Arabidopsis thaliana: one gene and its partner. The protein of the gene in region 2 purifies or fractionates together with the protein of the main gene of each other region. This does not show direct contact. Each region holds a gene or a part of one and is shown on either strand. Other genes may lie near its edges.

Region 1 (7,187 bases), about 20 Mb from region 2:
AGGTAAAATTTACTAGTAGCGCTCACTGAACTGAGATCTTTTGTTGATCACTTTTTCATTGAAGTTTTGTGTGTGTGTTTGTGAAGTTTGGGGATTGTGGATCACTGGATCAACATGGGTTTGCAAGGAACAAAATTTGGGTAATCGATGAGAACCCACCTCCACTTAACTCAAACGAATCCTTAGGAAAATCCTTTGTTGATCTTCTTTTGAAACCATCAGAAGATGACTTAAAGCAATGGCCTCATAGGTAATCTCCTCATCACTTGTTTCTTCATTTTTTCCTCTTGACAGAGATTCTAAAATTCTATGCTTATTCCCTTGCAGTTTCGAGTTCCGTCTTAGGGTTTCGCTTGCTGTAGATGGCGACTTAACATTGACTTCTCGGATTAGAAACATCAATGGCAAGCCTTTTAGCTTCTCATTTGCATATCACACCTACCTCTCTGTCTCTGACATAAGGTATTACTCTTCAATAAGTCAAGCAAAAGATTATTCAGTGTTTGGTGAAATCTTTATAACCCAACAATGTTTACTTTTCTTCTCTACAGTGAAGTGAGAATTGAAGGGTTGGAGACATTGGACTACTTAGACAACCTCAGCCAAAGACAGCTTTTGACTGAACAAGGCGATGCAATAACCTTTGAATCCGAGGTAAACCTTAACAAGATTCTGCAGTTATCGATAGTGAACAAGTATCTTTGCTCGGTTACTTCATATCAGAAGTTTCTTTTGATTCATGTTTCAGATGGACCGGACATACCTTAGATCACCAAAGGTGGTTGCAGTTCTTGATCATGAACGGAAAAGAACATATGTTATCGGAAAGGAAGGACTTCCAGACACCGGTAATAATCGCACAACAACTCGTTTCGATTACTTGTTTGTTGTATATGATATGATTCATTAATCGTGATGGATGGTACAGTGGTGTGGAATCCATGGGAGAAGAAATCGAAAACAATGGCGGATTTTGGTGATGAAGAGTACAAAAGCATGCTTTGTGTGGATGGTGCAGCAGTGGAGAGACCGATCACTTTGAAGCCAGGAGAAGAATGGACCGGCCGGCTAATATTGACCGCTGTTAAATCCAGTTTCTGCTTCGATCAACTCGAACTACAGAGCAAGGGATTCTGACTCTAGTTTCTGTATGCAACATTGGAAGAGCAGAGCCACCGTTTCTTTTATCTCTTTCTTTTTGTTGATTCTTGTTTTATCACATTAGAGCTTATGACCTGGTGATTTCTCAGACCAGTCTTGTGATGTAGTGACAGAAAAAGCCTCTGGTCTTTTTTTTCCTCGGCTTAATGTAAGAATGTGAGGACAAGTTGTGTTCAATCGATTCAGTTTGATCTTTTTACCAAATTGATTCATTTTTCCCAAAAAGAGTTTGCACTACTAGCTTTTTATCCTCAACTTCCACAAACAACAGCAAAATCTAATTAACAAAAATCTTGGAGCTTTACGTTTTTTTCTCTAACTCTAAAGTTTATGCAGCTCGGCGATACTCTAGCTGTTTGGTGTTTTCTTGAAGTACCTTCACAAAGACAGAAGAGCCAAAGACTTAGAAAACAAAGAACGCTTTTCAATGGTGGAAAGGGAAAACTTAGAAAGATTCAGAAGTCCATTGTTACCTCGCGTATTCTCTCTGCAATTGCCTTGCAACCTTCAGAAGCCAATGCAAACACTGTCTCAAATGTTTCCATCGGTAACTTGGCATCCATCTACACATTAAACCCAAACGTAAGCGTCTAGAATCATCTGAATGCGAATGTATAGAAATCTGATATGAAGAGTTGAAGAAAAACCTGAAGGAGTGACACTTTGTCTAATTTAGGTAGAATACCGACGGTTACATCAGCTCCTCCAGCACTGTCTTCAACATAGTTCAGATCAAGAAGAGGAGTACTGTTTAAATATCCAGCACTACAGGAAACAGCGAGATCACGCATTGGAATTCCAGCATCTGCTAGAGCTAGAGTCGCGGCATTGATACAAGCTGATCTTGTTCCTGATTACAGAACATAACACTAATGGCTGATCAGAGATTGAAAGAGATCAAAAGGTCAACTTCAGAACAGAGGTTTAGTTTAATTTTACCTCCATCAGCTTGTAGAACCTGAAGGAAAATATCGATCTGCATAAAGGAAACAATTCATCAGGAAGCAAGCAAAAGGAGGAGGAAGAAAGAAAATTTAGATTTCAATATCGCCGGAGAGTAAAAAGTAAACCTGAGAGTGAGGCATCAATTCGGTTAATATGCAAGCTTCCATTGTCTGACGGATGACAAGAGATAGCTCTGTTGATCGCCTGACCATCATAATACACAACAATTCAAACTTTATGATTTTCGTAAGAAAAAGCAAAGAGTCTCTCAGCTATATAGTAAAATGTAACCTGTCGAATTTCTGTCTTCTACGATCACCAGTACTAAACTGAGCCATACTATACTCACACAACACCTACCAAAACATACAATTAGCAATAAGCATTCCATATTCACCAAGAACAATACTAAACAAGATCAAAGCATATACATACCACTGCATGGTCGTTCTTCTTTTGCTGGCTCTTGTTTTGAATCTGAAGGAGCACATTAACAGAAATAACCAATTCGCTGAATTATACAATTAAAGTATCAATCTTGATAGGTGAGTAACAGAGTAATCAAGTACCTCTCTTGGACCATAAACAGCTGCAATTACTTTGGTATTACCCATCTCGAAGACAGCAGAACTGGAAACAAAGTTGGAATTTTTGTTCATATAAAAGTGCCGAATATAGAACTGAGATACGGAAAAAGATAAGAGACAGATTTTGAGTTTTACCCGTCAGCCTTAGAAACAACTCCAACTTCAGCTACGATTTGCCTCATCTGAGATTCATTACAAGCAATCACGAATAGACCGATTAACTTGTGAAGGCAGTGGCTTACAAAGACAGTGAATAGAGATGCAAACATACCTCGTTGAATCGGCGACCATCTAATCGAAGACCTTCAGGGTTTACGTACTCCATTGTTGTGAACTCTAGGTAGAGATAATCAAGGATGAGAGCAATGAAAGACAGAAACAGAACAAGTTTAATACTTTCTGATCCCACAGAACAGGGAACAAGAGACGAATTTACCTCTGCCAGTACTTTAGCGGCGGCGATATGACGGAGGGCGATGGACGGCGTCGAGAGAACTGAAAGAGTGTCGACAACATAAAGATTAGGGCTTTTTGGTTCCTTTTTGTGAATTAAGTGAGATTTTAAGGGTAAAACCGTCAAATCACAGGAGGATTTTTTTTTATAACTTCTAGTTTATGAAGCCAGGCAAATTGGTAATTCGCTTGCAAAGAAAAGTAAAGCTCAAAATTGCGGGAACATGCATGCAATAAGAGAATTAAGAGTGAGATCCCTTCAAAAGTATAGCTCAAATTGTTGTTGTTTTCTTTTATCAAGGCTTTTCTTGTTGACTCTGTTATTTCAAGTATGTATTAGTAATAGTAATATAGTATCTAGATCAATTTCTAAGTCAATAGTATATTGATAGTAGTATCAACGTGTCGGGAGTTACGTGTGGCAATGCCGACAAATGAATGCAAAGTGAGGTATATGAAAATGACGGGTTCCTGACGGAGGAGATGATGGAATTATTTACTAAGGTTTGCTAACATCTTCTTTTTTTATGTATGTATGTTTGGATCAAAAAGTATACAAAACCATATTAGACAATTTAAGAGAGACCACTCTCTAGTCTCTACCTAGTAAAAGTAGTACCTACTACGACTATCCTAACGAATGTCATGCAATTTAATGTTCCATATACAATTTTTTTTTTTTTAATATATTAAAAACAACCCAATAGGGCATGGGCTAAGACCCAATACACAGATGAAATCCAGTTACAAAATAGGTTAAACAGAAAAAGTCACCGACAAACAAAGAGGTTCGAACCTTGCTGCTGGTCGGAAGCAGAGTGGTCGGAGCCTTATATCTGGCGGACTCAAGCATCACAGCTTTGCGGCCGCAGACGACGGATCGAGAAACGCAGCTGGAAGATTCCGGTTTCCATCTGCACCTATCTCCGCCGTCGCACCAACCCACCACAACTCTCCCAGAAAGCTAACCACTCCGACTTACCGGTTCCGCGATATCTGTTCCATGCCAAGCAACCCGATACACTAGAGTTTAACCCCTCTCCGACTTAATGTTCCATATACATACTACTAACTATTATTAAATCAAACTGACTGTTATTTTTAAGGTCTAACTTTTAACACGAGTACCTGACTAATCCCACGTAAAAAAAAAGTCTTGAAATCACATGTATCTTTTTATAAAATCACAGGTGAATTCGTGTAAGTTATATAAGGTTCAAAATAAAACAATATAGAATTACTGTAAGTTACAAGATTTGGTATATTAACTTGTAGAATTATCGATATAATAAAAGCTTATTTTTCAATTATTATTTTAGGACCAAATCTAGTCAAAGCTCAACCATTAACTATGGAAATCTAATTTCTAGTTACCTTTTTAATAGTAGCTTTTTCTAATAAAGTTTCTGATAAGAGACTTGGTCTCCAAGCAAAAGATCATAAATTTTTTCCGAAATTAAAAATATATTTTAATATTAAAGACGAGATTTTATTACTCTTTCAAACACATCGTTAGATTCATTACCATTAAACTTCACAATTTCCATATTGGGTCAATGCGAATTGACACATACTCGTGACCAATCTCACACGCGTGGAGCCCACTAGCCGGCGCGTGTAGCAAACGTAAAACAGACCGCGCGTAAAAGAGTTAAAAGTTGCTTGGAGACCAAGCTATAGATTAGGACAATTGGCTCTACTTTCGGTACGGTAACTACCACGTGTCATAAATCTAACGTCTCAATCTGAGATGCGGAAAGCCGTTTCTGGATCCCCCATTGGCCGCCACGAAACCGCCCTTAAGCATCGTCCCTCTTTACATTAAATCCAAATCTAATTCCCGGTTTATAAACTCCATTAACCGGATTAAATTTCAATAGGTTAAGCTTTGATAAACGTATGTCATTTCACCAACTATATTTTAAGATACGTTTAGTTATAAGGTTGAATGAGTTTTGATTGGGTCAGTGTCTCATATCATATGAATAGTGTTGAACACGCATCAATTTCTCTGTAACAGTTAAAATCTAATTAAATTAATTACATAGAAAAAATCACGTTACTAAACAAAAATCTCCAAAAATAGTGATGAGTTAATAGTATTTAAGAAGGATGTTCCTGAGAAACGGCGATTCTTCTTTAACCTTTTGACTCTTCTTCTCTCTCTCTCTGCAAATTCAAAACAGTGAAAAAAACCTCTCTTCATTTTTTAACTCCCTCTCTCTCTCTCTCTCTATGGAGAGACGAACGAGACGAGTGAAGTTCACAGAGAATCGTACGGTCACAAACGTAGCAGCTACACCATCTAACGGGTCTCCGAGACTGGTCCGTATCACTGTTACTGATCCTTTCGCTACTGACTCGTCTAGCGACGACGACGACAACAACAACGTCACGGTGGTTCCAAGAGTGAAACGATACGTGAAGGAGATTAGATTCTGCCAAGGTGAATCTTCTTCCTCCACCGCGGCGAGGAAAGGTAAGCACAAGGAGGAGGAAAGCGTAGTGGTTGAAGATGACGTGTCGACGTCGGTGAAGCCTAAAAAGTACAGAGGCGTGAGACAGAGACCTTGGGGAAAATTCGCGGCGGAGATTAGAGATCCGTCGAGCCGTACTCGGATTTGGCTTGGGACTTTTGTCACGGCGGAGGAAGCTGCTATAGCGTACGATAGAGCCGCGATTCATCTCAAAGGACCTAAAGCGCTCACGAATTTCCTAACTCCGCCGACGCCAACGCCGGTTATCGATCTCCAAACGGTTTCCGCCTGCGATTACGGTAGAGATTCTCGGCAGAGCCTTCATTCACCGACCTCTGTTCTAAGATTCAACGTCAACGAGGAAACAGAGCATGAGATTGAAGCGATCGAGCTATCTCCGGAGAGAAAGTCGACGGTTATAAAAGAAGAAGAAGAATCGTCGGCGGGTTTGGTGTTCCCGGATCCGTATCTGTTACCGGATTTATCTCTCGCCGGCGAATGTTTTTGGGATACCGAAATTGCCCCTGACCTTTTGTTTCTCGATGAAGAAACCAAAATCCAATCAACGTTGTTACCAAACACAGAGGTTTCGAAACAAGGAGAAAACGAAACTGAAGATTTCGAGTTTGGTTTGATTGATGATTTCGAGTCTTCTCCATGGGATGTGGATCATTTCTTCGACCATCATCATCACTCTTTCGATTAAAAATCTCTTCTTTTTTGGGGAAATTTTTGTGTGGTGATGATGACGTGGATACATCGTGACCGTCGGCTTACCTTTTTTAGTCTGAATGACGTGGACTGTTCAGATCAACTGAAGCGCAAACCCAAAAAAACTAGGGTTTTGTTTTATTAATTTGTGGGTAAATATTTTAGTTAAGAAGAAGATAAGTATGTTAATGTTTATCAAGGTTTGGACCTTTCGTTGTTTTGGTTCCTCTCTCTGAGATTGTCTCAACGGTAGGAAGCAGTATATAAATGTGTTTCTATGTCTATAAATTATTTATGAAAAACAAATCGTATGGAATTTTATTATGATTATGCGACAAGTGAAACAAGTCTTTACTTCGAAGTAAAAAAACAAAAAAAAAACTTATTCACAAATAGAATTGTCAGAACAGTCTTGGAAATTCAAGAAAAGTCATGATCTTGACTAATTATAAATGAATGATTGTATCATATTATTGATATCATCTTTTGTGATTAGAGATCAAAAAATATTTATATATATAGTACTTTAAAATATAAAAAATTATATTTTAAATAGTAATCACCATGCACCAACACCTCTCTTCTTCTTTTTTTTTTTTTTTGCATATGCAATTGTTGTTTTGTTGTGACAAATAAAATAAAACTGTGGTGCTCCTATCTACCAATTATTATGAAGCGATGTCATGGTTTACTTATCGCTTTCTACAAAAATGTTCTCAGTCATGTAGAATTGGTGCTGGTTTTGTTGAGTGTATTAAATGTAAATCCGTATCCTTTTTTTATATATAACATAAATCTTTAATATAAAGTATGTGACAAATTGTGAAAAATCTTATGATAAATAAAATTTTTA
Region 2 (5,681 bases):
AGTAACATAGTAAACTAAATCAATCAGTGTAATTGGATCAAACAACAAGAACAAGCCTAAGGCAAACTAGGGTCATACCTGAAGAAATATCAAATCAACCCTGTAACTGGTTAAATAGGCTGAATTCAGATCAAAAATAGGCTGAATAATTTAATAAACATGATTCTGCAACCAACAAGTCTAATAATGAAGAGCTCAATTCCAAGAAACATGCGAATTGAAGAAGTGATCATCATGAAAGGCTTATAAAGAAGGAATGATTGATTGAATATACCTCAACAGTCCAGATGAAGAAATCAAGAGGCTCGGGAGGATGTTCTCTGGTCATCCTTTCCTCTGCACAAAATTCCCAATACAATTCACCAGCAATCATTTTACAAAACCCAAAGAAGCAACATATCACATGAATTTCGTGTAATCCAAATCGAAAACGAAACAGGAGAAGAGAAAGGGGGGGAAAAGAAGAGGAAATACCTACCGAAGCGACAGCTGTGAGATCCGAAATTTGAGCTTTGATCTGAGTGATTTTCTTGGGGAGAGAGACAGAGGAAGAGGAACGGGATTCAGCGAACTTAACTGTGCCAAAATGCGTGAATTTTTAGGGTTTGAAGAGAGAGAGAGAGAGAGAGATGAGAAGAGAGAGTCTGGGGGAGGGACAAATGGGTCCACCAAGTGAAAGTGTTTGCTTTTTTCCTCTCTTTTGGCTCTTTTTCTTTTCCTCCACGCTCCTCTCCCGCCTCCACGCGCCACCGTCTCTCCGTACCACGACCATTTTTGCTATTAAATCTTTTTCTCTTTTTTTTTTTATTTTATTTTTAGAAATAAATATTTTTACTGTCAAAATTAACTTTTACAGTTAAAAACCTTTAAGTACTGTAGTTATCAATTTTTTTGTGTATATTTTATTAGGGTAAATCATAGACTAAATATATTTGATTAGGTTTGACTCTTTTTCCATAATGAAAACAAAATAAGAGTTAGTGGCCAATAAGAAAAGAAAAAATCACTTTAGTCAATCAATTTAGTTTCATTTTCTTTTCCAATTAGTTAACCGACTGATTTTCAAATCTTACTTTTTAATTGTTTATGCTAGTCACAATTTAAATGTGGAAACGATGTTAGTTGATTCGCAAAAACAGTTATCAATATCATTGTTAGTTAGTTCATCGGAATATACGTAAATTCGTTGAGTTTTGCCATTTAACGCTTTCTATTTGCTCCCTCCTTTTGTTGTTTTGTAGTATGTACCATATCATAATTCTATGACATAATAGATGACTACCAAATTTTCTCTGCCAGCTTGCTTGTTATGAAATGAAGGAGGAAACAAATGTGAATAGTATCGGATTTGGGAGTTTTACAGAAAACAATTGAATGTTTCAAAGCCATTTTTACCAAACCCGAAGCTGAGATACACGTGACCAACACTGCTCACACACTCTTTTGACCTTTGAGCTTAATCATGGACCACCAATCTTCTCTTTTTTCCAAGTCCACTTAATTTCATTTGCTGACCTCATCTCCATTCTCATTTCCTCCTCCCAAAATATCACAAATCCTTTTGTAACTTGTTATGTCTTTCACTTTAAACACAGAGATCCAAGGAACGCCTCTTTTAATAATCCCTAGATGAGATATAATGTTACTAATACTATAATGGCAAAAATATCACCTTTACTATCACAAAGCATGGAACATTAGAACATAGGAAAAAGGATTTTGATTAGCTTAATCTGTTCTGACTTCGTATAAGATTTTCCACAGATACAAATATTGTTGATCCCTTGCTAACATGTTTCATCTTGAAACTTTGATTCTCTGAGACTCAAGAGTCAAGATTCGTCTTCGCAGGCCTCTGCGGCTGAAATCTCTGAATCAAGTTTGCTCATCAGAGTCTCTGTCACATGCTTGGCAACAGAGATCATGTCAAGGATGACGCTTGGGTCTAAGCCAGACCCGCTTCGTTTGGTTAACCCACATATATGGCCTGTCCGATTCACAGATATAGATACAGCTGAGCTCATCTGAGACTCCTCTTCTGCTGTTGCATCAACTATGTAATGCGTTCCCACCTGCAAAAACCAAGGACAGCATGGTAAAAGATTAGCGAAATGTACATAAGAAGATGTCGATGTGAATCAAGAAAAGTGAGATTCGATTACTTTTGTTAACGTGACTATGACCGGGACACTGGAAGTGTCAAATTGAAGATATTCCTCGTCGCTGATGTCAATCTCTGGTTGCTCATCATCTGCTACTTCAGCTGAAACATTGACTTTTGGGATGGCCGTGTTGGTTAAAGCAGCCTGCAGGAGTATAGTCAACAAGTGCATTAAAGCATGTGATCAGCCTTGAGGAAAGATGACTTTTGGGTTGCTTAAACTATCAATTGGAAACATATCGTAAAGCTACTAAAACCAATAACAAGACAACTACATTGAGCTAATCTATATACACTTAACTAAAGACCCATTCCCTTTCGTTTCCTATATTCTCTGGCCTTTCCTTTCTCATGATTCTGATTGATGGGTATGATTTACTCACTAACATTCGTAACTAAAACCTGAGACTAAGGGTTAAGAGAGAAAACCAAACACACATCACAAGAATTACCTTAATGGCAGCACCCAGGGCATCCAATAGATTCCCATCCGAACTAATGACAAGACCATCAATATAAAGGTCCCAGCAAACTTTTCCTTCTTTGATTAAAAGCGAAGATAAATTTATTCCAGCTCCTGGTACCAAAACATGAATTGCTATAAACGTTACAAACAGAAAGCGTAACAGTGTGCAGGTAAAAAAAAGCATTGCATAAACATGATTGCAGACCTGCTCCACTTTTGCCACCCAGAAGACATCTTTGAAGAGCCAAAGCAAGCTCAGAAGACAATTCCTCACCTCCTCTCCCCTAAGTAACAACATATCACAAAGAATTAGCCGCCTAAAGACTTAACACAGTAGAATTTAGGAGATTCTGAAGAAAAGTAATGATAACCAAAATCTCATGTTGAACAATTCCACTAGTAAGAGAAACACCAATAGAACGATAGAACGGGTGTGACAAGTGCTAGATAGAACCAAAACCAAACGAAATAAAAGAAAAGCTCACCCCAAATGTCGGTTCAGCTGTTGGACTGCAATCAATGAAAACTGCAACCTTTCCTTTATCGGGTTGAAGTGAACTTGGCCTCCCAATTTCAGCCTGCAATTACACAAGATTACTGGGTAACATCTACAATAGCACTTCCCATTCAACAATAGAACAGTAGCAGAGAGAACAAAGGAAGTACCTTTACACTAGCAATCACATCGGTTCCACCAATTCTAACTCTCGCTGAACCATTAGCCTAGAGCCAACAAAAACAAGAGAAAGAACATATCTGTTAAACAACTGGGAAGCAACAATGAGAAGCGGACGAGCTCTAGGAGATTACACTACCTGCGGAATAACACCGGTTTCGACGTAGATAGGACGGTAAGTCAATCTTTTCCGACCATCAGTTCGAAGATCTTGAGCAATCCCACCTTTAATGAAATGTTGTTCCCCAAGAGAAAGCCCCATCACTAATACTACACAGAGAACGAATTAGATCAACTGCTGAGGAATTTCTACCGGAATGACAAACTTCAAGGTTCACGGATTGGTGCTAGGGTTTAAGAGACAGCTCAAACAAAGTACACATCTTTATACAGCACAATCAAAACCCACTAATCTTCTTTACCTTCCCGGAGAATTCAATAGAAGACACAACTCTGAAGTTTTCCGGTGACCCTAGCGGCAACTTTGGATTGGTTAGGTTAAGAGAGAGACGTGACCACTGACAACTGCCGTAGGGTTTAAAGATGGCGTGAACATAATTATTGACACTTGTTAAGGGTAATTTAGTCATTTACCGACTTACCATTTTTTCACTGCTTTTTAGCGTTTTCTCGCTCTTCTGGTTTTTTCTTCAATCTGCCGGGAAGAAGTGCGAGCTTGGTGCCGATGGGTCGTTCGAAACTAGCTTCTCGTCCTGCTGAGGAAGACCTGAATCCAGGGTTCGTTTAAAGTTTCGTTCTTTGTCCATCTTAGCTCGAAGTCTTCTAGGGTTTTCTCTGTTCAATTACTTACTTGTCTTTGCGAAAACATTTCAATATCTGGTAATCCACTTAGCTGTGTTTGATTATCTGAATCGGAGTTCTTTTGGTACTTGTGGGTGGCTCTTGATTTCATACTGCTGTCGTCTCTTGTCTTTATCCTAATTTTGATGATTTTGGCTGTTTCAGAAAATCAAAAAGGAAAAAGATATCATTGGGTCCTGAGAATGCTGCGGCATCAATTTCCACCGGTAGGTTTCCGTTTACTTGTGCAATTAGGTGTGATACTGATAGGACTAAAGTTTCTGCTGTGGATAGATATGCATTGATGTATCATGTACCAAGCTGCGTTTTCCAAAAGTTCTTACATGTACCAATACATTGTAGGAATTGAAGCTGGGAATGAGAGGAAACCTGGCCTTTACTGTTGTAACTATTGCGATAAAGATCTGTCTGGTTTGGTTCGTTTCAAATGTGCTGTTTGTATGGACTTTGATCTTTGTGTGGAATGCTTTTCTGTCGGCGTTGAACTTAATCGTCACAAGAACAGTCACCCATATCGTGTTATGGTTAGTTTCCAACGCCGAGCAGTATATTTGAATTCAATTCAACGCTTTGTCAGCTGAAAAGTAATTAGATTAGTGATTGTGTTTAAAACAAAGAAAATGTTCTATGGTTGTATTTTTGTTTGTATTGAATCTACCCTTTTGTTTGACAGGACAATTTGTCTTTTTCGCTTGTTACTTCTGATTGGAATGCCGATGAAGAGATACTCCTTCTTGAGGTAATCATTAATCGTTTCTGATTGTACACTCCCATGTCTATATAGAGATTCCATCTGACTATTGGGAAGTAAATTGACTGTGTTAGGCCATTGCGACATACGGGTTTGGCAATTGGAAAGAAGTTGCAGACCATGTTGGTAGTAAGACAACGACAGAATGTATTAAACACTTCAATTCTGCTTACATGCAGTCACCATGCTTTCCACTTCCGGTAAGGACTGATGAAAACACATGATCGTCAGATAGTTGAACCTAGCTTGTTTATTTACTCTAGCTCCCCGCTCTGTAGGACTTGTCCCATACTATTGGAAAGAGCAAAGATGAGCTGCTTGCTATGAGTAAAGATAGTGCAGTCAAAACAGGTCAGCTTTAAAATCTATTAGCGGGGTTTCTTGTTGATTTGGGACTCGTATATTAACCTTGACTGAAAAAAGGAGGATGCTGAGCTCTGTTTACTATTTGTCACAGAAATACCTGCATTTGTGAGGCTATCTCCAAAAGAAGAGTTACCTGTGTCAGCTGAAATCAAGTATATACTTATGCTTGTAACAATAGTTTACCTACGTTTACAATGTTGAATGCACCTTTTTAAAAGTACTATTATGTTTCCATGGGCAGACACGAAGCTTCAGGGAAGGTCAATGAAATAGATCCACCTTTGTCTGCCTTAGCTGGAGGTATGTGAAAATGCTTTTATCTATATAAAATTGTAGACATTATTTGCACTTAGATTTATGGCTAAGGACGCAAATCATCCGCATTTCGTACTACGACCCCAAATATTATCTCTTCCATGATTCCATATGTAAAGTAATA

The links. Proteins that work in one complex are often made in the same cells at the same time.
Region 1: the proteins of AT3G07750 (region 2) and RRP41 purify together in Arabidopsis thaliana (affinity purification with mass spectrometry; 2 studies listed by BioGRID, with this or other methods). This does not show direct contact.

The regions. Positions count from the first base shown.
Region 1 is NC_003074.8:22,799,893-22,807,079, forward strand, and holds RRP41 (3'-5'-exoribonuclease family protein), read right to left. Parts: upstream 4,213-7,187; 5' UTR 3,943-4,212; intron 3,301-3,942; exon of another isoform or gene 3,189-3,300; 5' UTR 3,130-3,188; intron 3,030-3,129; 5' UTR 3,019-3,029; coding exon 2,965-3,018; intron 2,876-2,964; coding exon 2,829-2,875; intron 2,737-2,828; coding exon 2,676-2,736; intron 2,584-2,675; coding exon 2,542-2,583; intron 2,463-2,541; coding exon 2,398-2,462; intron 2,311-2,397; coding exon 2,232-2,310; intron 2,138-2,231; coding exon 2,101-2,137; intron 2,012-2,100; coding exon 1,809-2,011; intron 1,725-1,808; coding exon 1,635-1,724; intron 1,538-1,634; coding exon 1,490-1,537; 3' UTR 1,329-1,489; downstream 1-1,328. Other genes in the region: AT3G61610 (Galactose mutarotase-like superfamily protein), read left to right, coding at 1-2, 87-250, 328-462, 552-654, 749-848, 929-1,137; CRF6 (cytokinin response factor 6), read left to right, coding at 5,382-6,329. UniProt on the Arabidopsis thaliana protein: Non-catalytic component of the RNA exosome complex which has 3'->5' exoribonuclease activity and participates in a multitude of cellular RNA processing, maturation and degradation events.
Region 2 is NC_003074.8:2,471,370-2,477,050, reverse strand, and holds AT3G07750 (3'-5'-exoribonuclease family protein), read right to left. Parts: upstream 3,820-5,681; 5' UTR 3,726-3,819; exon of another isoform or gene 3,574-3,725; 5' UTR 3,566-3,573; coding exon 3,443-3,565; intron 3,351-3,442; coding exon 3,294-3,350; intron 3,206-3,293; coding exon 3,113-3,205; intron 2,912-3,112; coding exon 2,833-2,911; intron 2,739-2,832; coding exon 2,614-2,738; intron 2,307-2,613; coding exon 2,163-2,306; intron 2,073-2,162; coding exon 1,833-2,072; 3' UTR 1,476-1,832; downstream 1-1,475. Other genes in the region: ADA2A (ADA2 2A), read left to right, coding at 3,989-4,041, 4,270-4,331, 4,468-4,670, 4,799-4,864, 4,951-5,076, 5,155-5,227, 5,334-5,394, 5,484-5,542.